4 linked regions of the Drosophila melanogaster genome follow. The protein of the gene in region 3 interacts with the protein of the main gene of each other region in a pairwise test. Each region holds a gene or a part of one and is shown on either strand. Other genes may lie near its edges. The genes, in order: 7B2, Argk2, bab2 and Cpr56F.

Region 1 (6,913 bases), on a different chromosome or scaffold from region 3:
GTCCGCTGGCCAGCTGCGAGGTCTTCAGTTGGATGGCAGGCAGTTCCGTGGGACAGAAGAAACGGGCTCGCGTCTTCAGGGACCAGTCCACAGGTAGGTGGGCGGTGTGCTTCTGCCGGGCGGCCAACTCCGCATCGTCCTCGTCCTCAGCGTTGATTTGGGGATGCTGGAAGAGCTTGGCAAAGGCCTGCGGGTCGTACTTCTGGAGCACGAATTTGGCGGGCGCCGGGCGCGTGGGCGTTTCCCGCACAAAGCAGGAGGAGGCAGTGACCACTGGTTCGAGGTCCGCCAGTTGCGGATCAACGCGCAGTTTCTTGGCATCAGCTGTGGATCTGAGGCAGGGAGTCAGTAATTGGATTTTGGGGAGAGCGAGAGAGAGGGAAACTCACTTCGCAAACGGATTTTTTCGCTTCTGGGCGAGCTTAGCCTCCAGTAGCTTGCTTTTATCCGTCTCATCCACTTGGTGTCTTGGCCGCCTATTGTTGTTGTTGCTCACGCGGGCTGCCAATTTGTTCTTCTTCTGCTTGAGCCGCTGCAGTTTGATGAACTGGAAAACGAAACAACAACATTAGTGGCGGGCAGGTGCTCCTCCGAGTCCTTACCCACGTCATCTGGGCGCGTCCATTTGGAAGCCACACTCGCTTCGGTGGACATGTTCAATGTCTTGGTTCGCGCACAGGACCTTCACGGATTATTTAAGTACTTTGTGAACTGCAAATATCTTCAAAACGTTTGCAAATATCACAAAAAATTATGGCGCGCAACTAGGGGTGTGAAATCTTTCGATTGATTAGCTCGTTATTCGCTATTTTCGCCCATGTTCAATTCCCAAAAATATCGTTAGTCGGCAAATAAAACGAATCTCACAATTTAACTAATTATTTATTATAATAGATGGAGTAGTTTACAAAACGAAACTAACTTAAATTGTATATCACTGGCTGCAGGGGCTATGTTGGTTAACAATGGCATTGTTGGGCATCGAATTTGATTTTTTAATTTTAATGGTTCTTTTTGGATTTACAAGCTTCTAACCTAAATTAAACAAGCGCATGTTGTATCGTTTTAACTATTAATAAAATCAAATGAATAAAAAATCTTTTTGCGCTATAAAAATGTATCTGACTATCGGATTCACCGATAACAAATCGATTAAGCACTGTCGTTTTTCCAACTGTTTTATGATCTGGTAACACTTTCCGTCGCTGCGTTTTATGCTAAAAGTAAACACATTAACTTGATAAACAATGAACCTCGCCGACGTTTGCCGTATTTGCGCCAACAAAATTATGGGCCACCAGCGAGATCGCAACATATTCATTCACATGCGGGGAAAATATTTGGGTCAACTGAAGCTAATCACGGGAGTGGAGGTAGGTCGTTATGTCAGCTTCCGACCGCGCCAACAATTGTTATTACCTGGAATTTGTTCAGCTGACAAGAAACCAGGGGCTGCCGGAGATTGTTTGCGAGCGCTGCTTCTCCGAGCTGGACCTGGCCACCAAGTTCCGCGAGCGGTGCATCTTCTCGCAAAAGTACCTGCTGGATATCATAAAGAAGACCAGTGATCAAAGCACTGTTCACGTTGAGCTTAGTTCCGAGCCGCTGGACGAGCAACTGATCGATGCGGATCAATTGGAGACGCACTACGATGACGACCAGTACGTTTGTTATCAAGGCACGAAAGAGGAACACCAAGACCTAGAGGAAATCGAGCTGGATGACGACCCCTCTGCCGCTGTGATAGCGGCAGCAGAGGCGGCAGCAGAAGCGGCGCAGCAGGAGGATCTACAGGAGCAGGAAATGGAGCGGGCCGCCAAGAGGCGCAGTAACTTCTTTATCTGCGACGAGTGTGGAACCCTGTTCCACGATGCGTTCCTGTACACCGAGCATTTAAATGGGCACCAGAACCGGCGGGATATGAACCAGTTCTTCCCCTGCCCTGAGTGCCCACAGACTTTTAACAAGAAGGCGCTTCTCAAGCAGCATCGCACCCAGGTTCATTTAATTAACCGCAGGTTCCAGTGCACCATCTGCCACGAGGCTTTCGCGTCTCTGGGCGCTAAGTTGCGGCACGACAAGTAAGGAGGCTGGGAATTGAATGCTAGCGCAGCACTATATGCAACTTCCAATTTCATTTTAGAGCCCATAAGAACGAACGACCTTATCCATGCCTAGAATGCGGAATGATCTTCAGCAGCGTTTCCGAATTGCAGAACCACTTTTCGACACACTCAAAGCAAATCCGAAAGTTCAGGTAAGCTTGTCAGCTTGCGCAGTCATATGTCTTAATATCGTATTTTTTGCGTTTAGGTGTGAGCCTTGCAACATGGATTTTATAACTCGCCGAGGCTTGGTGGCCCATACAAAAACAGCACCGCATAAGCGCCTTGCCAAATATATGCAGGATGAATTCGATTTCATCGAATTGGCAACCTAACCCTCAATTATTACCACCTTCTTTCTAAGTAAATGCTAAGGTCAAAAAAATAAATCATAATTGAGTAGTTCAGTTTACTACTTCGCTACCATAATATTCGACAATGGAGTATCGGTTCAATGTTATTTTTTTATAAGTGTATTTTTAATTTATTGAAAATAAAATTCCTTCAGTTTTACTTTCAAGTCATTTTTTATAGTTCATACTTTTAAATTAAGGAGGGAATGGAAATTTATAGCGTATTACCGTGTAACATAAACCTCTAGTCATACAATTCAAGAAAATAAAGTTTTCTTAGCGACTAAGTTTTCTTATTTTCTTCCAGCATTTTATACTAATAAAGCTTAAAGAGGCCTGAAAACCTCAGCTCCAGCAGTTTGGCGCTAATCTAATTCTCGGCCCCCCACAGGACTGCTTCAACATAAAAGAGCTTTCGAGTACGGCGCATGCGTCCTTTCAGCTGTGGCTGCCATAAGGCAGCTTCGATTGGATCTGCGTATATTTCGCAAATTCAACTGGTAGCCGCCGCACGAAGCACAGAGCCCTACGTCACGTTAGTATATACACGGAATCGGAGCAGCTGCCGCCGAAAAATCAATACCTTACCAAACTTCGACGTGGACGGTTGAAACCGCTTGGAATCGCAATATGTTGTTCCGTTCGCAAAGTAAGTCTGCTGAAGTAATATTTATAGGTGGGTGAGGTAAGAGAATAGCCCATGTTTTTCCAGGTGTGTACATGATGGTGGCGATGCTCGTGGTCGCCTTGAGTGGCTACCAGGTGCAGTCCTATAGCGCCAAGGATATTCTTGCCGATGTCTTGATGACGGATCTGCTGAATCGCATGGACAAAGACATGCAGGTGGGCTATTACGACGTGGGCAACGAGGCAGCCGCTGGCTCCAAGGACAACGTGGACCTGGTCTCCCGGTCGGAGTACGCGAGGCTGTGTGACGGCGGAAGCGACTGCATCCTGCAATCGGGCTCGGCATCGGGAGCTGCCTCCCATCCTTCGCTGCGGGATGACGAGTTTCTGCAGCACAGTTCGCTGTGGGGTCACCAGTTCATCTCCGGCGGAATGGGAGAGGGTCCCAACAGGTATCCCACTATAGTGAAGAACGACGCCGGCCTGCCTGCCTACTGCAACCCTCCTAATCCCTGCCCTGAGGGCTACGACATGGAGACGCAAGGCGGCAGCTGCATTGTCGACTTCGAAAACACGGCCATCTTCAGCCGGGAGTTCCAGGCCGCTCAGGACTGTACCTGCGACAACGAGCATATGTTCGACTGCTCGGAACAGGATAGTGCTGATGTGGGCGGCGACAAGGGTGACCTGAACTCCGCCGTGGAGCAGTACATCATGCAGATGGGCCAGGAGAACAGCCTGAACAACGTTAACAGCCTGGCTAAGAAGGCCGGATATCCTGTGATGCCCGATCCTCGGCTGGACGACGCGGTCATAAACCCGTTCCTCCAGGGCGACCGCTTGCCCATAGCCGCCAAGAAGGGCAACCTTTTATTCCACTAAGGTAACTCGCTGATAACGCGAGCATACACGACGTTTCCATATGGGTGTCTAATACTATTATCTATCATAGCTGGTTATCAATGTTGTCCCGCAAGCGATGTCTAGTAATGTTTCTACCCTTTCCCGAAAATAAAGTTATTCGTATAGTACCAGGGCTCTAAGCCGAAAATATGCGGGTATTGGTCTAAACTTGGGGTAGGGTCTCCACTACCGAAGGTGGGTTCGGATGTAGCTTATCCTTGGGATGACCCAAGTTTGATGAGAGTGAGAAATATCGAATATCTGTTTGATGCTTCTATTTATTGTTTTAAAAAGTTTTACAATCCATCAAATCATCAATGATTATTCATTTAAAAAGAACTATCCTCGATATGTCGTCGAGTGTACAAATAGGCCACTGCGGTTCAGCTCCACGTTGAGTATTTTGTGTCAGCATGCACTGGCCGCGTGTTTCGGATGATCCACGCGGGTATTGACTTAAAGATAACCTAACAAATGATAGTATAGTACATCGCATGAATGTTGCTGCCACAGTGGGCGATCAGCCACCCAATTATTGGCACACATCGACACTGGCAGTGTGATTAGCTAAGCATAATGTTCGTTCTGTTGCCATGAAGCCTTATGAACGACCTGATCCTTCTGAGCCAGAGTGTCCTGGCTCTCACTCGCGTCCCTATACATACTATACAACACAATCCTTCCTTCTGACTACAATTCTAGGTATTGGCTTAGTCTTAAGTTTAGGCAGTTGATGGAAAGAGGCGGAATTCGTTAACAAGTTACCTAGGTCTAACTTAGCTCTACGTCTAGGATGGGCGGGTCCTTCACAGGCGACCTGTGCCATTACCGCCGCCGCCGTTGGTGTTCTGGCCCCAGGAGACCTGGTGGTGCGGGTGGGGATGGGGATTCCTGGTGGTCAGCCGCAGGGAGTTGCCGTCGCCGTCCTCGTCGATCACATGCTCGTAACCCTGGTTGATAGTGCCGCCCCCATTCGAGCCGTAAATCTGCTGCAAGTGTAAGCGGACGTAACAAAATATTTCCATGAGAATACACATATTTTATGATTATAAATTGGCCTTTACCTCGGCACCACCACCGTTCACATTGAATACATCCTTGATGCTGATGCCTGCATTCGAGACACGTCCGCTTCGCTGATTCGGCAGAGCTCCATTGTTGTTAATCTACATATATGCATTAAAGAAGTTATGATCCTGTATCTAAAATTTCTCCAAAAACTTTTCTAATCTCACCGGTGCTCCAGTTGTGATTCCGTACTCGTTCTTTGCTCCCAGAGTTTGCATCGCGGACTTCCGCCTTTCGGCCATCACCGAATTCTTACGCACCTCCAGTGCCCGGATGGTCTCCGCCCGCATTGTCAGGCGGCGGGTGAGAATGGGCGTGGCCGGATTGTTCTCCGCATCGGCGGTGAGTTTCAGGAAGCGCTTCTTGAACGCCACATCCAGGGTGCCGATCTGGCGACGTGGCTGTCGCGCCTTCTCCAGATTTTGAATGGTCTTCCGCCTGGCTATGCGATCTGGCCCGGAACCGGAGTCATTGTCGTAGTCGCCATCGATTCCCTGCAGCCTCTGCAAGTTCTTGACGATCTCCACAGCATGCTAAATAATATCATAATTTTATTATTTGTATTAATGTCAATTACGGGCCACCTACCTTATCTATTAGTTGGTCCTGTGTCAGATCCTCAGACTTCTTCTTGCAGAAGTTGAGTTCAGTCGAGGCCAGGATGTGCGAAATGGTTCCAAATCGATGGAACAGCATGGCCGTGAACTGGATTATCAAAATAAGAGCAAAGAAGAATACGAACACCAATCCGATGGGCTCCAGCTGAAGGTACTCCTTGGAGATGTGCACCTATGGGGGATGAGTAATACGATTAGCGGGGCCCTGAAGGAGTTGATTTTGGGTTAGTGACACTGAACGATTTGATTGGTTGACGGTTTGGGCTTGGATAATGGCTGATCTTGATACCAGTAGTCGGTGATTGTGGCATGTTGAGGTTGAGGTTGTGGTGTGATACCATTTGGGAGGTAGGTTATATGTCGGGTTTGGTTTTATTTATATATTTATTGAACACATTGATGTCTGAGGAACAATGAACATGCTGGCCGCACCTCTGGCCCTTGTGTACAGAACTGTGATTACTCAGAGGGGGATACTTAAGTATGTTGCTTACAGTTTACCGTGTTGTCATTTTAGGGCTAACTGTTAGAACCGCGAAAATGCCAAGATGTTGTTCTGTTGTTTTTACATGATGTATTCGTATGATAAACAGCCTGAACCATTAGGATGGGGCTAACAAGGTAAACGGGAGTACCGAGAACAAAGAGCATCATTAGCTGTTTGGTGATGTGACATGTTGGACATGTTGGGTAGTAAACATTTAGAGAAAGTGAAACTGAGGAGGACAGGCAGGAAGTTAGAGGACCCGTCCGGAGGTTTTAGGGTAAGACAAATACACTATGACAGCACAGTTGTGGGTAATACTATATAACATCGAGAAAAGCTTGTGTATAAACCTCGGATGTCTCTTCGATATAGGTAATGTTGGTTTTGACGCCCAACGGCCAAATAATGTGTAGCTTGTCCTTGTTCAGTTGCAACAAGAAGACAATCAGCACGAACAGGGCGTTGGCCATGAAAAACGCAAAGACCGACTTGTTCCGCAGCTCAATCAGGTCGGAGGCAATGCGGGCCTTCATTTCGATTCAGTTTGGATTCAGTTCGATTTCAGATTCAGATCGTGGCGCCAAAGAAAGAATTATACCGAAAAAAGAGTAGTGTTAGTTTGGCGTGAAAGCAGCAATTACCTCCTGGGTGGACTCGTCGTAGGTGATGTTCGTCCGCACTCCGAAGGGCCACTTCACGTGGATGTTGTCCTTGTTCAGCTGCAGCAGGAACACGATCAGCACGAACAGTGCA
Region 2 (6,964 bases), 7.9 Mb from region 3:
CGCAACCAAACATACGAAGATTGGTTTTTTCTATATACAAAATACCGACTTTGTGACCAAGCAAACGCCAAATTTTTAAACGTTTTTTGAAAACTTTACATCAAACCCTACAAAAAAAAAACACCACACGCGAAATGGGTCTCTGCGCCTCCAAGGACAAAAAGGAGAAGGTGATCGAGGGCGAGGTGGCCAATGGCGAACCCAATGGTACCGCCACGGCAGCTGGCGCTGGAGGAGATGGGTGTGTATCCCGGAGTTCCGGGCTCTTATATTCAATTTTTTTTGTAGTGGGCCTACGACTCCTAGACAGGAGTTGTCTGTATATCCCCTGGTTGGGTGACCGACCGACCGAAGGGGGCTGACGTCATGTGTGTGTGTGTGTAAGTGCATGAACGCTGCTCTGTCGAAAAAGCGGCCAAAAATAAAGTGCCATAAAAAAATTATTATTGCCCTGGTCCTTCGTTTTGTCCAGGACTTCGGCTGGGTAGCCATGTTGTTGTAGTGCGCATGTCCTTCGACAGGAGGAAGGCAGAGGGCGGTGGTGGGTGTATAGTGTGCCGTCGATTTGCGTATTCAGCGGCAGCCGGCAAAATTTTATAGTCAGTCAGCCACCACCGAAAGCAGGACACAATCGAGAAACAAAACCAGAGTCACCACCACTAAAAAAGGGGCGTTGTGGGATCAAGGGTGATGGGTGTTCGGTTCTGGGTACTGCTTTCTGGGTGTAGCGAGCTGAAGGGGAAAGGGAGCGTGGGTATATGTGGCAGTCGCGTGCCACAGACCCAAGTCGAGTATGAGCACATGGCCATAACCCGAAACTAATTGCGGGGCAAACAGGCAGGAATTGAGGAAAACAGAAACACAAGAAAACATGTTGCCGACTTTTGGGCGCCACAAAATGAAGATAGGCGAGTCCTTTGTAGCAATAAAATGTTGTACTGTCGCCCCAGCCACGCCCTTTTACTAATGGTCAATACCCCATTCTCTCCTTCTCTCTACGTATTTTTGCAGCAAACAAGACACCATGGTTGATGCCGCTGTTCTCGCTAAACTGGAGGAGGGTTATGCCAAGTTGGCTGCCTCCGACTCCAAGTCGCTGTTGAAGAAGTACCTGACCAAGGAGGTCTTCGACAACCTGAAGAACAAGGTCACGCCCACCTTCAAGTCGACCCTGCTGGATGTGATCCAGTCTGGCCTGGAGAACCACGATTCCGGCGTCGGCATCTACGCTCCCGATGCCGAGGCTTACACAGTGTTCGCCGACCTGTTCGATCCCATCATCGAGGACTACCATGGTGGCTTCAAGAAGACCGACAAGCACCCGGCCTCCAACTTTGGCGATGTGTCCACCTTCGGCAACGTTGACCCCACCAACGAGTACGTGATCTCCACTCGCGTGCGTTGCGGTCGCTCCATGCAGGGATACCCCTTCAACCCCTGCTTGACCGAGGCCCAGTACAAGGAGATGGAAAGCAAGGTCAGCAGCACCCTGTCCGGTCTGGAAGGTGAGCTGAAGGGCAAGTTCTACCCCCTGACTGGCATGGAGAAGGCCGTCCAGCAGCAGCTGATCGACGACCACTTCCTGTTCAAGGAGGGCGATCGTTTCCTGCAGGCCGCCAACGCCTGCCGCTTCTGGCCCAGCGGCCGTGGCATCTACCACAACGATGCCAAGACCTTCCTGGTCTGGTGCAACGAGGAGGACCATCTCCGCATCATCTCCATGCAGCAGGGTGGTGATCTGGGCCAGATCTACAAGCGTCTGGTGACCGCCGTCAACGAAATCGAGAAGCGTGTGCCATTCAGCCACGACGACCGTCTCGGTTTCCTGACCTTCTGCCCCACCAACCTGGGCACCACCATCCGTGCCTCCGTGCACATCAAGGTGCCCAAGCTGGCATCCAACAAGGCCAAGCTGGAGGAGGTTGCCGCCAAGTACAACCTGCAGGTGCGCGGAACCCGCGGTGAGCACACCGAGGCTGAGGGTGGTGTCTACGACATCTCCAACAAGCGTCGCATGGGTCTGACCGAGTTCGAGGCCGTCAAGGAGATGTACGATGGCATCACCGAGCTGATCAAGCTCGAGAAGAGCCTGTAAATTGCCCGCCAACCGCCGAGCATCGTCCCCCCGGCTGGAGGTGCATCGCCTCCGGAGTTAACATCTATCCACGGGTGCCACCAGTTCGGGGCATACGCAACAATCAAGAACAACAACAGCAACACTTAGAAATCTTCGGCTCGTCCGCCTTGTCGCTTTTGGGCGGTTCGAACTGCAAATATGTCTAGTTTGTAGCTATGGTGTGGAGCTGCTGTCCCAGTCCGGCAACCTTCGGCATTTTCGTATACTTTGAGGGTCGCGGGCGCAGGCAGGGATCCCATCTTGCAACACCATCAACACCTACAGCAGCAGCAGCAACAACGGATAACTATTTGACAAAAACATTTGCTTAATTACAACCAAACAATGTAAAACATTTTGACATCTGTGTCAAGCAAAAACAAAAAAAGGAACTTTAAATACTTTTATTTAAGTCTTAAGTTTATAAAAGAATTAAAATTATTAAAAAAAAAATAAAAAAAAAACTTAAAACTCAATGAATGTTTTGTATTCAATGGATATAGAGGACATATAGGGTATACAAATATTTAGTTTATTATTTATTTAGAGTTCATCACGGCCTTTAACCTTTTGTACACTTCACGCTTTACAACTAAGCTGACTTTGCCTTACACTCGGCTTCTATGAGACCCTTGATTCCATCGTGCATCTCTTTGATGATTTCGTATTCGGTTAGTCCCATCCTGCGTTGGTTGGATATATCGTGCACTCCGCCCTTGGCCTCTGAGTGCTCGCCCGAGGTTCCTCTGATTTGTAGACGATACTTGTCGGCCAGCTTTTTCATCTCGTCGGGATCACACATTAGATTGGGCAGCTTGATGTGCACCGAGGCGCGAATAGAAGTGCCCAGATTGGTGGGACAGAAGGTTAAAAAGCCAAGTCGTTCATCCCTGTTGAATTGCAGCTGCTTGCCGAGAGCCTCCACGCCGCCAACCATGCGATCGTAGACCTTGCCCAGGTCGCCACCCTTCTCCATCGAGATGATGCGTATGTGGTCCTCCTCGTTGCACCAGACCAGAAAGTTCTTGGCGCTATTCAGAAAGATGCCCCTTCCCGTTGGCCAATATCGAGAGGCTCCAGCGGAAGCCAGAAATCGATCGCCCTCCTTGAACAGATAGTGATCCTCTATGAGCTGCTCCTGTATGCATTTATCCATTCCAGTCAATGGCATGTATTTACCCTTGTACTCTCCGGTGAGGCTAGTCACTGCCCCACAAATCTTACTCTCCAGCTCCATGTAGTCAGCCTCCGTTAAGCAGGGATTGAAGGGGTATCCTTTGACGGCTCTTCCGCAACGGACACGCGTGGATACGATGAAATGGCCATCGGGATCTAGGTTTTCAAAATCCGCGCCTTTGCCGAAAGCAGTCGCCGGCTGTTTGTCCGTCTTCTTGAAGCACTTATGGTATTCCTCGATGACGGGATCAAAGAGATCGGCAAACACCTTATATGCCTCCGGATCGGGGGCGTAGAGCCCAACGCCGGAGTCATGATTGCACATTCCCGAACTGATGCAGTGCAGCAGTGTGGAGTTGAACGAGGGTGTAGTCTTCGTCTTTAGCTTCTCGAAGATCTCCTTGGTGAGATGCTTCTTCAGCAGGGACTTGGATTTCGACTCGGCCAACTTCTTGTAGCCCTTCTCCATTTGCTCCATCACCTCCTTGTCCACATTTCCTTTGCTGGCATGGCGATTGATTACTAGCTGCGCACAGCGGCCTAGTAATTGAAGTTCAAGCCGGAGTTTTAAATGTAACAGCATTTTTAGGTGTTGAATTTGGAATGACACCGGCCAGGCTGACCCTAAGTTAGAAAGTGACATTAAACCAAATGGCTAGAATAAATCTAGTAAAACGCCATTTAGTACGAACAAAAAACAGACGGTTGAAAACTCCACTTTAATAGATATCGGAAAGGAGATTGCTAAGCAAAGACTCAATCTATGTACAAGTAAATTTGAAATAAATAAAGTATAAAGTAAATTTTGATATACTTGAGTTCCTCATGGATTTAAAAATTGTTTTCACAACTATGGTTTTGCGCTAAAGTAAAGAAATCATTTTCATTGATACTTTTTTAAAGAACCGTTATATGATATTCACTTAATGGTTTTTAAAAATACAATAATGCATTTAAGAAACAATTTTGTTTGATAGTGTACTCATATAGCACGGCTCCAAACCATTGTAAAATACATGGCAAATGTAAAATATTATGTGTAAAATAATGCGTAAAATATGTAAAATACAGGGAAATGCTTAAGAAATGTATACAAAACCCATCGAAAATTGGTAGCTCAAATACTGGTTTTAAAACACTCAGTTCTTCTGTTTAAATGTAGACTTTCTAAGATATATATTACTAATGTAATTATATAATATGTTTAATACGGGTGTAGAAGCCATCAAAACCAAAAACTATGTTTTATTTCCTTTTGACTTTTTTTATTTCAATAAAATACTTAGAACATTATAGAAAAAGGTGTGTTAATTATGATTAGTTTTCACAATCCACCTCGACCTGTTCTCGTTCGCACAATTTAATTGAATATTTGCAAGCTGTTGGCTCGTAAAACAGAGAATGCGAACATTTTTATAGCTTAAAGCTTAAATACCAAATCAAATATATTATAATTAGCAATAAAGAACAACAAAAGCGGCAGCGGCAACAACAATATGCTAACATGTGGCGCAAATAAAATTCAGATCCGAACGGCAACACCTCCTCAATAAAGCATCGTTATCCTCATTATCATTATCAACAGCTTCGAACGAAAACCGGATTTGGATTTGGGCATGAGTATTGGACCAACCTACACATAAAAATTCATTAAGTATATTAAAACAAGCGCAAATTAGAAATGCAATACCGGAGCGACTTCGATTTCCATTTTTATCTCATAATCTACGAATTTTGACGCTTTTTGCCACCGTTTTTTCAAAAAGAAGCCAGCAGCGAGTCAGCAAAAAAACACCTAACATTAAAAAAAAAAAACACTTCTGAGGCACAGACGCCGACAACGAATGTGATTTGATGTTGTTTTGGCCCCTTTTGTTTTTGGGTGAAAACGTGCAAATCCCATAATTTAATTGTTTCAGCATTTCAAATGTAAATTTATGCACCAACAAATCCAATCGAAGACGAGGAGAAACACAAAGCGCTAATACAAAACTAAGCCCAAATTAGTCAAAAAGCCGCTTGAAACGCGGCTTCGTGTGGCTGGTGAATTATTTCGCGCTGATTTGGCTTACATTATGCATAATATATGCATCGATTTCTATGAATGGAAGCCAAATCGATTCGTTGCCCCTTTGAACTATCCGCAACGACTGGCTAGATAAATTCTCTGTGGTCCCATCTCCTTCTGGATGCACTTAAAAACTTAATTAAAAATATTAAACACGAAATGTTTGGCGCCACCGTTTAGGAAACGCTCAAAAGTGGACCGCACACATCCACGGAGCGCCGAGTTATCAGCTCAATTATGCAAGCTGAAAGGCAGCCGCCGGGCCACAGACAGATTTGTCGCATTTGACACGATAATGCACACAAGGAGTGACCACACCAAAGTCTCTCCAACCGACTCGGCATCGGTTTCTGTTTCGGTTTCTTGGCCAGCTCCCACTTCGTTTTGGCCTGGCCAATGGCCATAAAAGGTGCGATAAAACGAAAATTTCACAAGACGGCAACAGCAGCAAGTGCACTGCAAGAAAAGTGCTTCGATTTTGAAATGATCAGATGAATGTTGAATTTTTCTTTCTTTAAATTTACTTTAAAAACCATTTCTATTAGCAATACCATAAGCCAAAACTTACTTAGTTGAATTGAAATGTGTGATACTTTTTTTTCTCCGTGCACCCACCTCTGCGTCATCTCTGTGTCCCAGGGATGCGGATGGAATCGCAGGGGAGCTGGGAGTCGGCAAAGACCAAACAGCCTGAAAGCCGTCAAATCGCTGCTCATAATGGACGCCTTATCTTTGGAGAATTGCTTTAACTACTACCGGAGTTGGATGTTTTTCAGATACGTGTGACTCGAGAACCGACTGGTCACCATAATGGAGAGCATTAATTTGTCTTAGGCCCGCCAAAGCGGTCGCATAACTGCTTTTGGCCCAGGCACTGCGATATGGCCAAAAACCTGTAAAAACGGAAACGCTGAAGGTTACCGTTGCTCCCCCCCCCCCCGCAAATAGTTTTGCATTTTCTACGGATTCGATGTCTGATTTGTTTATTTTGACCAAAGACTCTTAAAACGAATTAACAATGTATATGATTGCAGCTTGGTTCTTAAACGATCTTATATGTAGCATAGATTAGCTTACAAAGTATATGCACACGTTTCTCACTAATCACAACAGAAGATGACTCCAACTTAAGTATGTTTACCAAATATTTCTTTCAATAGGCCAAAATGGCTGAAATGCTGAAGCTATTTCTTTTCGTTGAGGTTGAAGGCCTTGGTGATGTTGTGGGTGTGCTGGAGCCAACGGGTTGCGAGGCCACAGGACTAACAGGCGCGACAGTTGGCGCATATGTGGCTGGTGGCATTGGCAGAATCTGCGGAGGAACTCCACCAAAATAGGCAGCTGCAATGCTGGGCGGCAATCCGGCAGCTCCACTGGGTCCATAGCTCAAGTGATGGCGGAGATACGGCGACATAGGATTGGCAACTGGATGAGTTGCTCCATAGTAAGCTGGCGAAACACTACCCGTTGAGTCCTGCTCAAAATCCTGGCGCTGGCGCTTCGCCTGCGGAGAATCGCAGCTGCTCACACTGGAGCCATCATCCTCCGACTCCAGCGTCGAGTTTCCGCTGCTGTTCAGCTTCCTTTTGCAGCGGGATTGACCC
Region 3 (8,099 bases):
TGTGTAGTTTTCCTAGTGTAAAGTGGTTTTATAAATTTTCCTTCGAGTGATTTTTTGCACACAGTATATTCATTCAATTTCAAACATTCTTGATGTTCTTTCTTATTTTTGCTTTCAGTCCCGATTCTTCAAGGCTTCTATTCCCCAGTATGAATTTCATCCTGTTTTCGTCTTGTTTTAAGTGACAGCTTGAAGCTTGAAGAGCCTTGGAGGAGCGTTCAAGAGCAGCTTGGAAAAACTGGCAAAGAATAAGGGGGTTTTGTCCACTTTAATGGATGGCCGCAGAAAGGCGCAAGGCTTTCCAGCCATTTTCCGGCGTCTCCCACATCCTTTTTCAGCTCCTTCTCACACGTTCTGGATCCTGCCGCTCCTGTTGACAGTGGACTACGGTAGGAGCCTCTTTACTTATATTTTCATTTGAAATCAATGCCCTCTTTCAGAGGGTCTATCGATCAATCATGGATGCTTTTGTTAAAATGATTTATGAAACACTTTTATCCCAGAAGATTTGAAGGAGTTGATAGACTCGTCTTCAATGTTGTATGCCATGTAAGGGATATCGATTAGCCATTTTGTTAAGGGTATTTGTGCAGCATCGACAATCTAATTTCGAACTCCGGCCTTCAGTGGCTTTGGCCATTTCCTGTCGCCATTTCTTTGGCAATCGCTTTCTCTTTTGACTGCAAGTGTGTGACGGTATTTTTTTTAAGCACTGGCTGCTGGTTGGCTGCAGATTTGAACTCTTTCGCTTTGCCAGCGGATGTCCTTTAAAGGTCCTTTAGCGTGGTTTCCACACCGTTGCCCCGGCCACTGCCCACACACTTTCTTCACGCTACTCCGATAATTTCACTTTGAATTTCCTCATCGCAGCCTTTCTGGAGAACGGAAGCGCGCTAGTTTCCTTTCCCAGCGGACCGGTTAGTTTTCCGCGTTCTTTTTCCAACAACTGTTGGCTAAGTCTTCGGACTTGTCAAAGCGGAAAGGGCCTTCATTTCCGCCTCGAAAGAGCCGCCGCGTTTCCCTTTTTCCAATTCGCTAGCTGACCAAAAAAATAGTAAAAAAATCGAGAAAGGAGAAATAGGTAGGCAAAGGTGTATGCTAAGCTAAGTTTTTAAAAATACTCCTCTGAAATTGTTTATTATTTAAGACACGATCGCGAATTATGCTTGCTTCTTTTAGTTCGACTTCTCAAACACAGAAATTTGTCGAGATTTTTTATTGAGAAACTTCGAAAATTTTAAATTTTTATTTTTATCCATCATCGAATCGTATTCTAAAACAAATTCTATCTAATTTTTATCAACAATAAAATGAAGTTTTTATTGATCAACACACTGCTACCTACGCAGGTACTAAATTTGATCTGCATAAATTATTTAAGTTTTTATTGCGGCCTTGAGACTCAAAAAATTAGATCGATATTAATAGTTTAAACATATTTGAAAAATCTTTTCATGTTACACATGTAGAAAACTACTACACATAATATGCAATCCTATAAATAAGACTCCTTAGTAATACATTCTTCCTTTTCTCCTTTCTACATAAGCATTGAAACATTCTGGTGACAGGTGACAGTATTAATCAGAGAAAAAGGCGTAGGATTTTCGAGAAAAGGATTCCCCCCTAAGATGTCAAGGCCCCGAGAAAAAAAGGGGAACCCTCAAAGAGTGGGGAGAATCCAAGCACCTTGCCGCCGATTCGCCAAACGAAGGCCGCAAAAAATAATTTGCGAATTGCCACGCGTTTTTTAGCCCATGTGTGCACCCCCGATTTATATATGCAGATATCTATATATAAAAGTATTTGGCCCCCACAGACGCACACACGTATATATTTATATATATATATATAGATATATTTCGAGTGGTCGGGCCAATCGGCGTCGAGCACGAAGTTCGCAGAGGCTCGTGGAGGCGCCCGAATGCCAAAAAGGTCAAAAAGAGAGAGGGCAAATGGAATAAAATATGCAAAATATACAAAATAGCACACACAAATACAGCGCACACGGGCACACGCACACACAGGCAAACGCAAAACAAAGGGGGATTTATTTTAGTTGTTGTTATTGGCTGCGCAAAAAACAATAACAACGGCCTATAGATGCTGCAATAGCAGCAACAACAACTCCTATTAAAAATGCGTTTCCATAGGCGCCGCCTACCGCGTGACGTCACTAGCTGCACTTGCTGCGTCTTTGCCTCCTTTTCTTTCAGCTTTTCCTCGTACTCTTTTCTTTTTTGCTCTTTTCGGTTGCCACCTCCAAGTTTTCGTTTTCGCGGGGCAGCATGGGGAAGAGGAAGCAGAGAAGAGAGTGCAGCCGAAGCTTTTCGTTTGTTTTCGCTCGTCTTTCAGCCGTTTTTTTGTTGTTGCTCTGCTCCCCTTCTTCATGCTGGCTTGTGTGTGCGTGTGTAGGAGCAAGCAGCTTGCTGTCCCACTCGCACTCGCGCCCTCTTACGGCACTTTTAGGGGCGTGGCCAAGTTGTGAGTGTGTTGCTGTCGCCACTTTTTCTCTGCTCTTTTTTGCCATAGTTTCTGTGCCTAAGCAGCAAAAGCAACAACAAGGAGGTTAAGGATGATGCAGAAGAAGAAGAAAGAGGGTTGGCAACTATTTTGAAACACTTTCTTACTGGACATTGGCCAGTTTCTCTTTCTTGCCCCTGCTGTTGCTGTTGTTGTTGCTGCTGCAGCTAGGTTGCAAGTTGCTGTTGCTATTCTCTTCAAGTTGCAGGTGTAGGCTGCAATTTTTTCGCGACCTTAGCATGCTGCTTTGGCGATTTGTTAAGATTTTTGCGATTTATTGGTAAGCATGGCATTTATATAAATAAGAGAACTTATTTCAATAAGTATTCAAACTAATTATAATAAATATGATTCGTTTTTAATTGTAAATGAAGTATGTTGATATAGTAAAAACTACTTTCGCAAATTTATGTGACAACGAAAAAAAAAAGAAACGTTGGGTCTTAGACAATTATATAAAAATCGTAGTGAAATGTATGTTTTTTATGATGAGAAATATGATTCGAATAAAAAACTATTAATCTGTACTAAAATGTATAAAAAAATAACAAAACAATTGCATTCCAGATTAATAAAATATGTTCTCCTCTTATACAATCACGATTTCATTTTAATTATAATTTCTAACATTTCTAAAAATTTCGAAATTTTCAATTTTTTTTCAAGCAAGATCTCTGAAAATTCAAAACAAAGAAAGCAAAGAGCACACTTACTTTCGCTCTTAAACCGCCGCTCTGTCGATTTCCCAATTCGCCGCAAAAACCGGAAAACACCACGCCGGCGCTCTCATTCGCCGCGAGAGAGCGGGCAGCGCAGCTGACGTCGGCAGCGCGGCGTCGAGTTTCATTCAATTTTTTGAAATTCAGTTCGTTTATCTGTGAGATTCAGTTCGTATCTGACTTTCGGCGTGAGTGGAGTGCAGCGTTTGTTTTTACGGCCACTGAAAGCCAGCAACAACAACAATAATACCCACAACAACAACAACAACGACAGAAGCGGCAGCAAAGACAGCAAAGCAAAAGCAACAACAAGTGACGTGCAACAACGACAAGCAGAACAGCATGTGTTGCATGCAGTGAACAAAACAAACAGAACATAAACACAAGTATTCTGTTAATATTTAATAAAACAAGAAAGTGAACTAAAAGTGAACCCATCGAGTGAATACCAGACGAAAAATGTATGTGTGCGTTGATTATTATATTAATTATGGTGCTTTATTTATGACAAATGACTGGGCTGCAATGAAAATCGATTTTATACCTCGACCATGTACTATTCTACATAAGTTATCCAGTGGAAATGCCATCCCCGCCAGACCCCCTCGCACATTTTCCGCGCATTTTCCTTGGCGCTACCAAAGAAATTGTAATTTATTAATTTATAACACAAGCCACCCAGCGAAAAGGTCGTAAAAAGCAATGTTGCTTGGTCGTTTTTGGGCGCCCAGGAAAATTAAGAAGAAAACCCACTCGAAGGAGCAACTTTTCCTACAGCTCCTGCCTTTCCACAGCTCCCGCTTTTCCGAGTGGGTGGCACGCGCCAAAAACAGTTTGTAAACATTTTGCACACAGCGAAAGCCGAGCGAAACACGAGAAAATCCAGACTGTAATTTATTACTTGCTGCATAAATAATAAATAAGCGTTAATAAATAAATACAATATGCAATATATAAATGTGTCCGAGCGCCCGCACACCGCCCCCCCGTTTCTCAACGTGTATTTGTGTTCGTTTTTGTGTGCGGGCGGGCCCACTTTAAGGATACAAAACCTCGAGACTGAATTAAATAAATAAATACAGAAATAATAAATAAATAAAGTGCCCAGCTTGCCTGCTGTTTTATTTTTTTGGCTGCCAACAGCTGCGCTTGCTATAAATAATTAAACGAAAATAATATATTACGAGGAAGCAGGAAAGAAGAGTGTGGAAAGGCAAGAAATCAGGGAGTTTGAAGTATTTAGGATTTCGAGTCAGATACTTGTCAGCAGTTATAATTGTATATGAAGGAAAAAATTAGTTTTTTGCTTCCACATTCACGAAAAACTGAAACTCATTCTAAAACATAATTTTGAATTTATTTAAGGCCAGGCTTTGGTAATAAATAAATGAAAATCTTGAATAATCATAAAATCAGCTTTGATGTGTCGACTTTGGAGATGTGCGAATCTTCTGCATTTGGCAATTTACTTATTTATTTATTTGAGGCCGAGTTTTTCCCAAGAATCATCAAATTTAATGCGAGCAGCCACGATAAAAGCAACAAACATGAATAAATAAGGGGAATAACAAAAGGCGGAGCGCGGCCATAACAATAAACCAAAAGTTGCCAAGAGCAGCAGGAGTAGGAAGAGGAGTAGGACCGATTTTCCTCCGCAGCCCACAGTTCGGGAAACTCTGAGGATTCGGGGTAGCTCATCAGCTCCTCAATTCTCCAGCTGTTCAGCTCTTCAGCTCCCTCGACGATGAGTCCATGGATTCGTATCCGGATCCAGAACAACAATAAAATAAACAAAAATAATAACTGTGGACGGCGCCGAGGAGCTGCGGCCGCAAGATTTAATTGGAATGAAATAATAATAAACATAAAAAGTAGCAAGAAGAAGTATTATAATAACAATAATAATAAATATAATTAAATTTCATGGCGGCAGCAACTTTCCACCCCGACAAAAACGACCCAAGCGAACCGAGCCCAAGTGTGCTGCACAAACACACATAAATTAAAATTATACAAAATATTTAAATAAATATAATTACTTTGGGCCCACTCTCTCCGAGCTCTGCCATAAATAATAATATTTAATTAAATATAAATCTATAGACGGGCGCTGTGCGCATGCAAGTGTATCCAGAGACAACAATACAAAATAAGCAATAATCGCGCGCACACACTTACAAAGCCGCTATATACGCATCCATATATAAATATATATGTATATGCATATATACAATATATATATGTATGTATATAGATATGTGCGTATAAATACAACAATGAGCGGCGGAGACTACGAATAATTGCAGCTCAGTAATATAAATTAAGCCAAATTAAACATAAATAAATGTGTGCTTAGCTTTTAGCTAATAAAGCACATTTCTGGCCTGGGCGTTACAGTGGGTGGGGTTGGGTGGTGGGTGGTGGGTGGCGATTGTTCGGCTGGTGGCTGGCAAATACTAAACATAAATTAATAGAAATTCATGGAAATTTCGACTGGCAGGGAGATGGGGCAAGATTAATAGGCTTATTTAATAGAGTTATGACTAAGAGCACAAATGTGCCCGCTGATTCAGCTTGATGTGAATAAAACACTTGCCACGTTCGTTATCGTTATAGATCCCAAAATATATTCGATTGGCAGGGGGAATAATGTGGCAGACAAGATAAAGCCATATTATAGCCAGCATTCTCTTTGATTGGCAGTTAAATATCTTATTCCGAGTTAATTGAAACAAATTAAATGTATACAAGACTTTCATACTAGCTGTCCATATATTGTATGTTACATATGTCAATCCCGTTCGCACAATCATGTGAGTTTTCCTCTCTTTCAGCTTTGAACTGCTCCCAGGAAAAGTTCTCGTTTCGCCCCCGAAAATGTGTTAGAAATCCCGCAGAAAACCTGCAAGACAACCGATAAGAAGGAAAACTCTATAACAGCACCATGGACATGACCAAACAGATTGTGGACTTTGAAATAAAGTCGGAACTGATCGGCGAAATCGATCAGTTCGAGGCGAGTGACTACACAATGGCTCCACCGGAAGAGCCTAAGATGGTGGAAGAGTCCCCCCAGTTGGGTCATCTAGAGGACCAGAACAGAAAGTACTCACCCGAAAGGGAGGTTGAACCCACTCTGCAGGATCCAAGTGAGGTGGTTGATCAAATGCAAAAAGATACGGAGAGCGTTGGAGAAGTCAAGTCACCCGAGAAGGATGTGGAAACGGAGCTGGTGAAGTCCAAGGCGAGTCCGATGAACGACCAAGCTTTGACTCCCCCACCACGACCTCTGACCTCCAGTGAAGTGGTGGGTCTCCGGGATCCCGAACATACCGAGCTGCGCATGTGCCTGGAGGCCAAGAAGTCGCGCTCCCTACCAGTTTCCCCACAGCCTCAACCAAATCTTAAGCTAGCCGGATCGGCGCTCTTTGAATTCGGTCAGAGATCCTCTCCCGTGGAGACCAAGATCAAAACCAATCCAGAGACAAAACCGCCGAGGCGCAAAATAGTTCCTCCCAGCGGCGAGGGGCAGCAGTTCTGCCTGAGGTGGAACAACTATCAGTCTAACCTGACCAATGTCTTTGACGAACTCCTTCAGAGCGAGTCCTTCGTGGACGTGACCTTGTCCTGCGAAGGCCACTCGATCAAGGCACACAAGATGGTGCTATCCGCCTGCTCACCCTACTTCCAGGCCCTGTTCTACGACAATCCCTGCCAGCACCCCATCATCATCATGCGGGACGTCAGCTGGTCCGACCTGAAGGCCCTGGTGGAGTTCATGTACAAGGGGGAGATCAACGTCTGCCAGGATCAGATAAACCCCCTGCTCAAAGTGGCCGAAACCCTGAAGATCAGGGGTCTGGCGGAGGTCAGTGCGGGCAGGGGCGAGGGAGGCGCCTCCGCACTTCCCATGTCCGCCTTCGACGATGAGGACGAGGAGGAGGAACTGGCCTCGGCCACTGCAATTCTGCAGCAGGACGGTGATGCCGATCCCGATGAGGAGATGAAGGCCAAGAGGCCCAGACTGCTGCCCGAGGGAGTCTTGGACTTGAATCAGCGACAAAGGAAGCGGTCCAGGGATGGCAGCTACGCCACTCCAAGTCCATCCCTTCAGGGCGGAGAGTCCGAGATCTCGGAGAGGGGCTCATCCGGCACTCCGGGACAGAGCCAGAGCCAACCCCTGGCCATGACCACCTCCACCATTGTGCGCAATCCCTTCGCCTCCCCCAATCCTCAGACCTTGGAGGGCAGGAACAGCGCCATGAATGCAGTAGCAAACCAGAGGAAATCACCAGCACCAACAGCGACAGGTCACAGCAATGGGAACAGCGGCGCCGCCATGCACTCCCCACCCGGGGGCGTGGCCGTCCAGTCCGCCCTTCCGCCCCACATGGCCGCCATCGTGCCGCCACCCCCCTCCGCCATGCACCATCATGCCCAGCAACTGGCCGCCCAGCACCAGCTGGCCCACTCGCACGCCATGGCCAGCGCCTTGGCAGCCGCAGCCGCCGGAGCTGGCGCAGCGGGAGCGGGCGGAGCAGGATCTGGCAGTGGATCGGGCGCCAGTGCTCCGACTGGAGGAACAGGAGTGGCGGGAAGTGGAGCCGGCGCGGCGGTGGGATCCCATCACGATGACATGGAGATCAAGCCAGAAATCGCCGAGATGATACGCGAAGAAGAGAGGGTGAGTCAATAACTAAATTTCAAACCATATGTTTTTATCCCAAGAAAATATTAGTTTTAATCTAGAACACCGAGTAATTGTATATACAAACTTTTAATAATTATGAGATCATATCAACACTTTCGTAACACAAGATATATCAAGTGATATTAGTCATGACTTAACAAATATAA
Region 4 (9,106 bases), on a different chromosome or scaffold from region 3:
TTCTTGCTCAGACGCTCACTAAACAATTGCAAGTCCCGCTGCAACTGGGGATTGACCACGTTGCTATCGTTGCTCGAAGCTTGACGAGTGTTTGACGCTCCTTTGGCGCTGCTGAAGTGCATGGAGTCAAAGATTTCCTGGAAGGGGATTGTGGGCATTAAAATGGAGTTTAATAGCTTGTGCAGTATTGATAGCCCACCTGTATCTTGGCCACCCTCAGCTCCGTATTACGAATATTCCGCAGCTTGCCCTCCATGCTATGTCGCAGCTGCATGGCATTCTGCTGGTTGTGGTGCACGAAAAAGACGCTTCCCGGCGACTGCTGCAGCGGCATGAAGCCAGGATCCGTAGGCACTTGGTTGCTAGTTGAATTGGCCATGGCCAGAGGAACATGTTGGCTGCTAGTTGGGCACGCCAGCACTGCCAGGATGAGCAGCACGGCGTTTAGGTTGCTGTTGGGCCACATGGTTTTTGTGGTTCCGGCGGACTCCGTGGCCACTGGGGCATACTATTGAATTTACCGCATATCTGGAAGACAATGAAATGTTAGCTTGAGTGGTTTCCTCTTAAGGAATTCTGTATTACCAGGTTCTTCTCGAGCTGCACGCTGATTTGTTTACGGAATTTCGTCACATAAATCTCGCTGATTCCTCGGTTTTAGGCATAGTAAGCACGTGTACATTGCCCACTGGCTCAGAGACAACAACTAATCAACATAAATACACTCTTATTCGTCCGATTAAGCTATTAAATTTAATAATTTTGTCAATGTTTTGCAGATTTTCTTAAAGTTCCACATGCGCAGTGTGACCGTATGTCGTAGATTATAGGGCAGCATGCGGAAGATACAAAAATGCACGACACAGCAGTGTGGCTGCATACGACTTTACAGTTAAAATGTGGTTACCCTAGAAATAACGTATTTTCGAAAATTGTAAATTGCTAAGCGTTTTATAAGTTGCATTTATTCAATATTCTTGAAATGCATACGCACTTAAATAAATAATAATTACATTGAAATGTATTCTTAGTTAGATTTTCTATAAATTATTTTGCAAATTAATGCTCTTATAACACTTTCACTTTTTATGTGCATCTAAAAGCAAAACCAAAGTTGAGCCTTTGCCAATTATTCGCTCATCCGTTGTCAAGGTTGTGTGCATTTGATTCTTTTTTATTTTTGTCGGCTGGATACGTGACTATGTAGTCCGAAGATGGAACAGATGCAGTCCAATTGGTGTCAGACGAACAAGGTGCGTGTCCGGCATGATAAATATTGCAATGGTTCCAATTGTTTAATATAAAAATGAGCAAATCCCAAATATTGCACCGCAGTTTCAATCGAGCCGTTCATTAAAATGGTGACAAAGGTATGATGTGGCTATTTAATAAACATTTTTACGTAAATCTTTTTGGCATTCCTAAAGTTGCTTCTACTGCTGCCATTTGTGGCCATTGTACAAGCTGAAGTGGATTTTACCGGTGGACGTATAGCACCTTATGCACCAACTGGTTGGCATCCGCAGATTCCATTCAACTTACCCAACGAGTATGTGCCTGCTATCCGATCAAGTCAGGGAGTAGAAATCACAAAGGCACGAGTGGACCAGTTCGATCCAGTGGAAAAGCCCCAGCCAAATTATTTGCCTCCAAATCAACTGGATATACCCGAGGAAGAGATTTTGCCCACCTCACGACCGTCCAACAAGTACGGTCCGGCAGATCCGAAATTTAAAATCATTTATCCTGATGATGAGGAGCCAGTTACTGCAAAAAATATCGTAGACAATCAGCAGCCCAAAATCAGAGAGGGACGTTACTTCGTCATTTCGCAGGACAATAAACTACAAAGAGTTTCTTTCAGCTCCCAGCAAAACGCAGATGCAGATGCAGATGATTTTACGGCTCAGTTGACTTACTCCACTGTGGGGCAACTCAAGGATCCTGTGTATCGATACAACAGACAGGGACAACTGGAGCGGGTCCTGAAGTAGGCAATTTGGATATAGCTATTTGAATATGTAAAATAGAGTTGTGCAATGTATTCAATTCTCAGAATGAATTATCTTGTTAATTATAAAAACAGTTTGGTTTTTCTTTTTGACTTTGTTTTATACAAAAATGCTTCTTTATTCATTTAATAATTATTAAATATACACAAAAATCTCATAAGTTCGTTTCACTTTCGAATTTCCATTTTCGTTTAAAAACTAAATACAATCCTTATGCATGTATGTATGAATGCGTAATGGTCATGTTGTGGGTGAATGGTGTGTTGGAGTGTGTGCGTAGACTAACACAAAATGAAGGCGCTTAAACAAAACAAAACGGCAAGGAGTTCCAGGTGTAGAGACGGAAAACAGGATAACGAACAGCAGTGAAACGGAAACGGAAAGGAACGCGCCTGTCTATGGCAAAATGGCGGGCGTCCCACTAAGGGTATGCACAGAGATGGGAATAGGGTTATATGGATAGACTGACTGCGATCGCTGGCCCACTGGCTGGATGTGCGTTTAATACTCGGCCAGCGATCCCATGAAGTAGACGAGTATAGTTGCGGGGTCGACCTAAATCGGGTATCCTCACTTCCCCATCTTAGTAGCCGTTGAATTTGCCCTGCTGCGCGTTGCTATCATAACCGCCACCGTTGCGACCATTGCCATTGCCGTTTCCGTTGCCATTGCCGACCTGCTCGTACCGAATGGTTGGGCGGTATCCATTCTGGTCGGCCTCGTACTCAACAATCTGTTTGCGTCCATCGGGCAGCAGGACGTAGTAGCGGCCCACAGCAAGATCACCATCGCGGGACTCCATGTGGCCGAAGTCATTGCCCGACTCGTAGTCCTGTACGTCGTACTTGAACTCGTACTTGGCCGGTCCATACTGCTCCTCATCCCGTTGTCCGTAGCCGTTGCCGTTGCCATTACCGCCGCCATAGCCGCCGTTTCCGTTTCCGTTTCCGCCCTTGAAGATGGCACCAGTCAGCGCTGGAGCACCATATTGACCCTGGGGAGGAGCGATGGGGGCGCCATAGCTGTTGCTGGGCGCTCCTCCATTGCCACCGGCCCGCTGGGGTGGCAAGTAGTTGCTCGACGGCGACTGGTAGCCCTGCGTGGGCGGCAGGTAGTTGTTGGACGGCGCCTGAGGCGACTGATTGGGGGGCAGGTACTGGTTCTGGGGAACTGGTGGTTCCGCATGGGTCCAGGCAGCCAGGCACACGAGCAGGGCAATGGATGTAAAAGCCTGGGAATGAAAATTCAGGGTTGCATTTACATTACAGTTTTCGTTTTGAGTTGACAACCCTTGATTGAACACTCCGTCCCTGACAGCTGTCATTCGAAATTAAATAAGTCCTATTGTTAAGCTCTCGTGATTTTGACTGATTAAATTAAAGCTTAAAAGAAGCAGCTATGACCGATTCGGACGAATCTTCCTGGATTCATTGGTTTTGCAAGCAGCGTGGCAACGAATTCTTTTGCGAGGTGGATGAGGAATATATCCAGGACAAGTTTAACCTTAACTTTCTTGATTCGAACGTTAAGAACTACAAATGTGCCTTGGAGGTGATCCTGGATCTTAATCCGGGTTCAGCTTCGGAAGACCCCGCTGAACCAGAACTGGAGGCTAGTGCAGAGAAACTGTATGGCTTGATCCATGCTCGCTTTATCCTAACCAACAGGGGCATCGAACTGATGTTGGACAAGTACAACAAGGGCGAATTCGGCACATGTCCACGTGCATTCTGCCATAGCCAGCCGGTGCTGCCCATTGGTTTGAGTGATAATCCTGGCGAGGATATGGTACGCATCTATTGCCCCAAGTGCAATGATGTGTACATTCCCAAGGCGTCGAGACATTCGAATCTGGATGGAGCCTTCTTTGGCACTGGATTCCCTCATATGTTCTTTATGGAGAAACCGGATGCTAGGCCCAAGCGGGCAAAGCAGAAGTTTGTGCCCAGGTTAGATCTTCCGTTTCCTGTGTTTCCTTCTATTTCCCTATGTTTTTAAGGTAGTTACTAATAATGTATAACTAATGTAACTATGTTTTCCCAGGCTTTATGGCTTTAAAATCCACCCCACGGCCTACCGTACTGCCGCTGAGATCCAAAAAGATGTGACAATGACGCCAGTAGGAGAAATCGATAGCCCATCCCACATTTGATCCTAAAGCTAAAATTTCTCATAAGCAACTGTCGCGTACTTCTCGAATAAGTGGGCACTGTTCGCCCGGCTGGCTGCCAGCTCATTAAACTCTCATAACAATAACTGCTCAGGCTGTGACCCGCTTGACAATCTTTTGTTTGGATTTGATGGCCTGCGAGCAGGCCCAGAATTGGCTTTGTCTTTCCCATCTTTACAGCATTTAGCTGAGGCATATGCAAATCTGTAGTAATTGGGTCCCAGGTGAAGCTCCCATCGGATTGGATTGGATTTAGCTGGGCTGCAAGTGAAGGGCTAATCTCGTGATCTTGCGCAATGCGTCTGAATCTTAAGTATTCGCCGTGTGGCGCGGACAACCTGTGGGAGAACCACTTCGGCTCACTCTTACACAACTTATTTCCGAATCTTGTGCAAAAGATCTTCTGGCCGAGTGTTTAGGCACAGGGCCGTCAATGACTTTCATGCTTCATTGGCGTTAAAATGCTATGCTTTTTGGCTGCGCTTTTGTCTGTATTTTTTTTTTATCGCCGCCTGGTCATCTCCAGACTGCCTTACTTGGGCATGTCCAGTAGTTCTTCTTCCGCCACTTAAAGTTTCTCTAATTTATTCATTGCAAAATGACCCCAAGCAGCGGCAGCTGTTGTTGCTTCTGTTTGTTACCCACACCCTAGAAATGAACTGGGATCGCTGGTTGCAATTGTTTCCCAGGCGAATGATATCGGTGTTCTAATTCCGCAACCTACCATAAAAAACAGTAGCTATCCTAAACAAATTGATGGTAATCTTAACTGCGATGATGATGGCAACTTATGAAATTTATTATGCGGATCTCCGCTTGATTAATCACCCAGCTGAACTTGACTTTTAATATGGCTCAAATATTAATATTTCATGTCTTTTCCTTCCGATTAGCTGATTAAGTGCTATGTGAGACAATGAAAGCTTCATTAGTTTGATGAGTTGTTTAATTGATTGATCGATCTATTGCCAAAAACGATTTTAAATGAGGGCTATTGATTGGATACAGAAAAATGAATACAAAATTCGAACATATTTTAGCACCTTTGCAATGCAGAAAAAGATATGGGCAAATATTGTGATGTTTATTTGATCATTCTAAGATTTTGTAACCCAACGTTGTTTGTATGTTAGCTACAGCAAACTTCAATATCCTTTGAAAATTTAACAAAAGGTCGAAACTGTATCTAATAAAGGACCTATATTGAATGATCTTTATAGCTATTCAAGTTTTATATCCTTTAGTCATATCGTTTCCCGAATGCCGAATGAGGCATTGTATTTCGTTTTGGCTGCCCATATCCTTTTGTGAGGACTTTTTTTTTTCACACAGCACACCACTTGGCACTTGACTCGAAAGTTCTATTCGGCTATATACCTTCATTTTGTGTTGTCACTTGTTTGGGATTTTGGCACACACGAAAACGGTTTTTGTTAACTTTGCTCTGTTGGCTGTGTTCTTCTTGCGAAGATGGTTGACTTGATTGTGATACTGAAACAATTTCGTAGGCCAGTATTTATATTTGAAATGAGCAGCAGCTAACGCGGCGGCGTCGACGTCGGCTTCAAAAAATTGCGCGCCAAAATGTGTGTGTTTTTTGTTCAGCTTAGTTCGTTATTTCAATTTTCGGTTAGTCGAGAAAAAAATGAGTGCCACAGTGCCGAACGAGCACTTGAAAAACATTACAAAATAATGCAAAGCACACGGAGCTGAGGAAGAGCAAATCGCTCTCGGTGGTGCTGCCGAGAAAAGAGGGAAATCGCTTGAGGTGGATTTGTTATAGTAAACTAGTTACTTTGGAAATTAAAGCGCCAAACATTTTGACGATGCTGACTTCGTATCTGCGGTCGGGTTCGGCAAATGAGCGAAGATGAGTGCCAAACATTCAAACAAATGAGACGAGGGAGTACCGCGCTCCTGCGGCTGCAGGCCATAAACATTTGTTGCCGCTCGTGTAATAGCAGAAACACTTATTTGTAATGGAATTAGTCATGCAGCAGGCAGCGGGCAGCGACGTCGACGGTAGCGTCCAAAAGCCAAGTGAGCGGAGGCAGCTGCTCCACGCATCTTCATCTCGCATCGGAGGCTTCAGCTTCAGTCGTGCGGCAGCTTCAGCGGCGGCCGCCTCGAAAGGCGAAGCAGAAACAAAAGACTCAGGCAACGAACTTGCTGCAGGCAATGCTGCTGCAAATTGTTTCCCCTTAGTGCGTGGGAGTTTTCGCTGGGTTTTGCTCGGTTTTGTTTTTCAGCACAACTAATGAGCTGGATTATGCCCCCGACTTCACAAATGTGTCCGTTTGGATTGGCGTTGACATGGATTCAAGTCGGATAAGCTGCAATTGAGCTGTGAGCACAGCGAGGGAAAAAGAGTTTTAAGATACGTTATCTTCCTTGCTGGGAAAGATACGCTCTGGTGTCGAAAATGTTGATTGTTATTAAACTGAGCATTAGTAACGGCTTGTAGTTGCTTTGCGAATCAAAATTACCTAAAGATCTCTTCAACATTCATTTATGGGTGAAACATTGCTCCAATTTAAATGAGATCAATTTATTTATATATTTACTTTATAAACAAATAATTTGTAGAGAGAAATAAGTTTTAAAATAAACACATATTTAAAAAAAATAACATAATTTTTTTTTCTATTTGTCCATTTCCTGCAAAACGTATTGAAATGTGTATGCTCAATAGTTTTGGATACTTATTTATCCCATTAAAAAGTCGATTGCATAACAAAGGAAACTTGAACTCTTTAAAAATACTCGAACACAATACTTGACAATAGGGAAAAGTAATTCAATATTTTTATTGCCATATTCCATGTTCATTTAAACAGTGGGCGTAGCATCCATCACGATCTGCAAATATTTCTTTGGTCAATTGTCTTTTGGCTCATTGGTCGAATGCGTAGCAAATTAAAATTTTTATCATTTTGTTATAACGGACCCTGCTTATTTTGCGATTTGGCACGAGCTGACTTTCACATTCGATAATGCCAAGTTTATGAGTTGTAAATTTAAAGGCCGTGCGAAGCCACGCCCCAAATGAGCTGGAAATTAATGAGGTATTGAAGGGATTGAAGGGATGGGGTGGGATGGAATTGCTTCCTCGCTGCGTATTCCCCCAAGTGATTTTCTGCAAGTAATACTCGACCTTGCCACAGACCACAATAAAAATAAATTAGAGAATATACAGCCAAGCTTTTGTAATTACCAAGATCATTTGGAGTTATGTGTGCAAATATGCGAATGCGAAAAATTCAAATAAACAAACAGAAATTATAGCAGAGCAGTTAAGACTTGACTTCATAATGGCTAATATGAATCTTGAAATGTAAGCAAAACAATTAAATAAATAAACCTTCGTATGCCGCATTCCTTGTCTCGGAAACCAAAACTGAAATTCATTTTCAATAGCACTCCATGAACGACTTCAAATCTGTTTTCGGTTTTCAGTTTTCAGCTTCAGTCTTCTGCTTGTTTTTTTTTTTACGTTTGTAATCATTTTTCCAGCACATTAAAAAATCATTTAATTTCCTGCATCGGCTAATTTACATTGAACGTGCCAGACAGAGAGGCCATCTAGACGGAGTTTTGGACTTGGAGTTGTACATGGAGATGGAGATCGAGATGGAGAGGAAGCTAATGGCACCCAGCCAGGTGATGATGCGCCAAGTCGAAGACAATGACGATTTGTAATTTCTGATGGCTGCTCTAGAGCTTCGAGAGGGGCGGACCTTGAAATACATACATGTATCCGTATCTGTATCTGCAGATCCGAATCTATGTTTGCTTTGTAACCTAGAATGCTGACGAGTGGAGCGCCGCGAACGTGTAATTTAAATTAAACTACGATAATTTCTGATGCAATGCCCCCCCAAGACGGACAGAATCAATTAAGGCGTCTTTTGATGTAAATTGCGCCTCACTTTGAATATGCCGTGCCACTCTAGATGATGATATTTCGAGAGCGATTTTGGATTCGAGATCTCCGTGGCTCCGACTTCTTCGCACACCGACTGCATTTTTCGCCCGACGCGAAGGTCGCTGCCTTTTGCCAGAATCCGGAGTAAAAGTCGATTGACTCACACACAAAATTGCCAAACTTTGACATTTTGGAACCGCTCTAAAGTGAACTGAAGTGGATGTGAGTAAGCTGGGTGTGGATGAATTATGATACGGATGACTATAAGGAAATTGGGGGTCTCAACAACAGATTCTTCCGAGAACCTATTTATAAAGAAAGCTTACCTTTTATTTAATAAATTGAGAAAGCAAATCTGCTTAAAAAAGGCCATGAAATAAATCTATAATATTGTCGTTTAAACACCTATTTTCGTTTAACGTCTTAATTAACAACTTCGAAAATCATGTCGTCAGTTATTGATAACATTCCGTCAAGAGGCGAAGGCACGCGAAGGTCGCACCTGGGAATCTTTGGCGCTCATCCTCCGTGGCTCCACTCACCTATGGCATTTGAGCGATGGACCCGATCTCGATCGCTCTGCAACTCAATGGCTGTCATAAAAGACGCATTCACAGTGCACTCCATACTCCATAAAGTAATTACACTAACACACAGGTCGCCTTGTGCAGTTGGCCAAATTGCCAAATTAGTTGCTGCTAGTGCAGCACCATTCAGTGGAGCCCAACTCTCGCAGCTCTGGGCTTTTGGATCTCACTACTACTCGGCATAATTAAAACGTATGCGAAGCAATTAAACTTGAAACAGAACGGTGGGGCAGAAGGAGCTGGTCTGCGAGCTGTGGCACGGGCATTCATATGCGGCTAAATTCGGGCGCAGGCAGGGGAATAATGATTGATGTCGGCCTATACACTCCGAAAAAAAAATCGATGTTCTCAAAAAGTAAATACGTAAAGTTTAGACAAAGAACATGGCTTTTGATTCTGTAATTTAACTGGA

Evidence for each region.
Region 1: the proteins of bab2 (region 3) and 7B2 interact in a two-hybrid assay, tested with the Drosophila melanogaster proteins (one large-scale study listed by BioGRID).
Region 2: the proteins of bab2 (region 3) and Argk2 interact in a two-hybrid assay, tested with the Drosophila melanogaster proteins (one large-scale study listed by BioGRID).
Region 4: the proteins of bab2 (region 3) and Cpr56F interact in a two-hybrid assay, tested with the Drosophila melanogaster proteins (one large-scale study listed by BioGRID).

What each region holds. Positions count from the first base shown.
Region 1 is NT_033777.3:5,373,844-5,380,756, forward strand, and holds 7B2 (7B2), read left to right. Parts: upstream 1-2,936; 5' UTR 2,937-3,088; coding exon 3,089-3,107; intron 3,108-3,155; coding exon 3,156-3,967; 3' UTR 3,968-4,132; downstream 4,133-6,913. Other genes in the region: hd (humpty dumpty), read right to left, coding at 1-332, 390-547, 607-654; CG14667 (uncharacterized protein), read left to right, coding at 1,248-1,373, 1,435-2,081, 2,144-2,257, 2,314-2,440; kkv (krotzkopf verkehrt), read right to left, coding at 4,795-4,977, 5,053-5,154, 5,224-5,589, 5,645-5,845, 6,802-6,913. UniProt on the Drosophila melanogaster protein: Acts as a molecular chaperone for neuroendocrine convertase amon/PC2, preventing its premature activation in the regulated secretory pathway.
Region 2 is NT_037436.4:9,044,407-9,051,370, reverse strand, and holds Argk2 (arginine kinase 2), read right to left. Parts: upstream 3,933-6,964; 5' UTR 3,876-3,932; coding exon 2,709-3,875; 3' UTR 2,647-2,708; downstream 1-2,646. Other genes in the region: Argk1 (arginine kinase 1), read left to right, coding at 1,012-2,095; Doc1 (Dorsocross1), read right to left, coding at 6,514-6,964.
Region 3 is NT_037436.4:1,172,585-1,180,683, reverse strand, and holds the start of bab2 (bric a brac 2), read left to right. Parts: upstream 1-3,407; 5' UTR 3,408-3,703; intron 3,704-6,076; 5' UTR 6,077-6,186; coding exon 6,187-7,926; intron 7,927-8,099. UniProt on the Drosophila melanogaster protein: Probably acts as a transcriptional regulator. Required for the specification of the tarsal segment. Also involved in antenna development.
Region 4 is NT_033778.4:20,286,269-20,295,374, forward strand, and holds Cpr56F (cuticular protein 56F), read right to left. Parts: upstream 5,678-9,106; 5' UTR 5,566-5,677; coding exon 5,560-5,565; intron 4,283-5,559; exon of another isoform or gene 4,165-4,282; coding exon of another isoform or gene 4,056-4,164; intron 3,962-4,055; coding exon of another isoform or gene 3,411-3,961; exon of another isoform or gene 3,277-3,410; intron 3,244-3,276; coding exon 2,596-3,243; 3' UTR 2,103-2,595; downstream 1-2,102. Other genes in the region: CG16868 (uncharacterized protein), read right to left, coding at 1-137, 200-466; CG34199 (uncharacterized protein), read left to right, coding at 1,359-1,370, 1,428-1,994; CkIIbeta2 (casein kinase II beta2 subunit), read left to right, coding at 3,411-3,961, 4,056-4,164.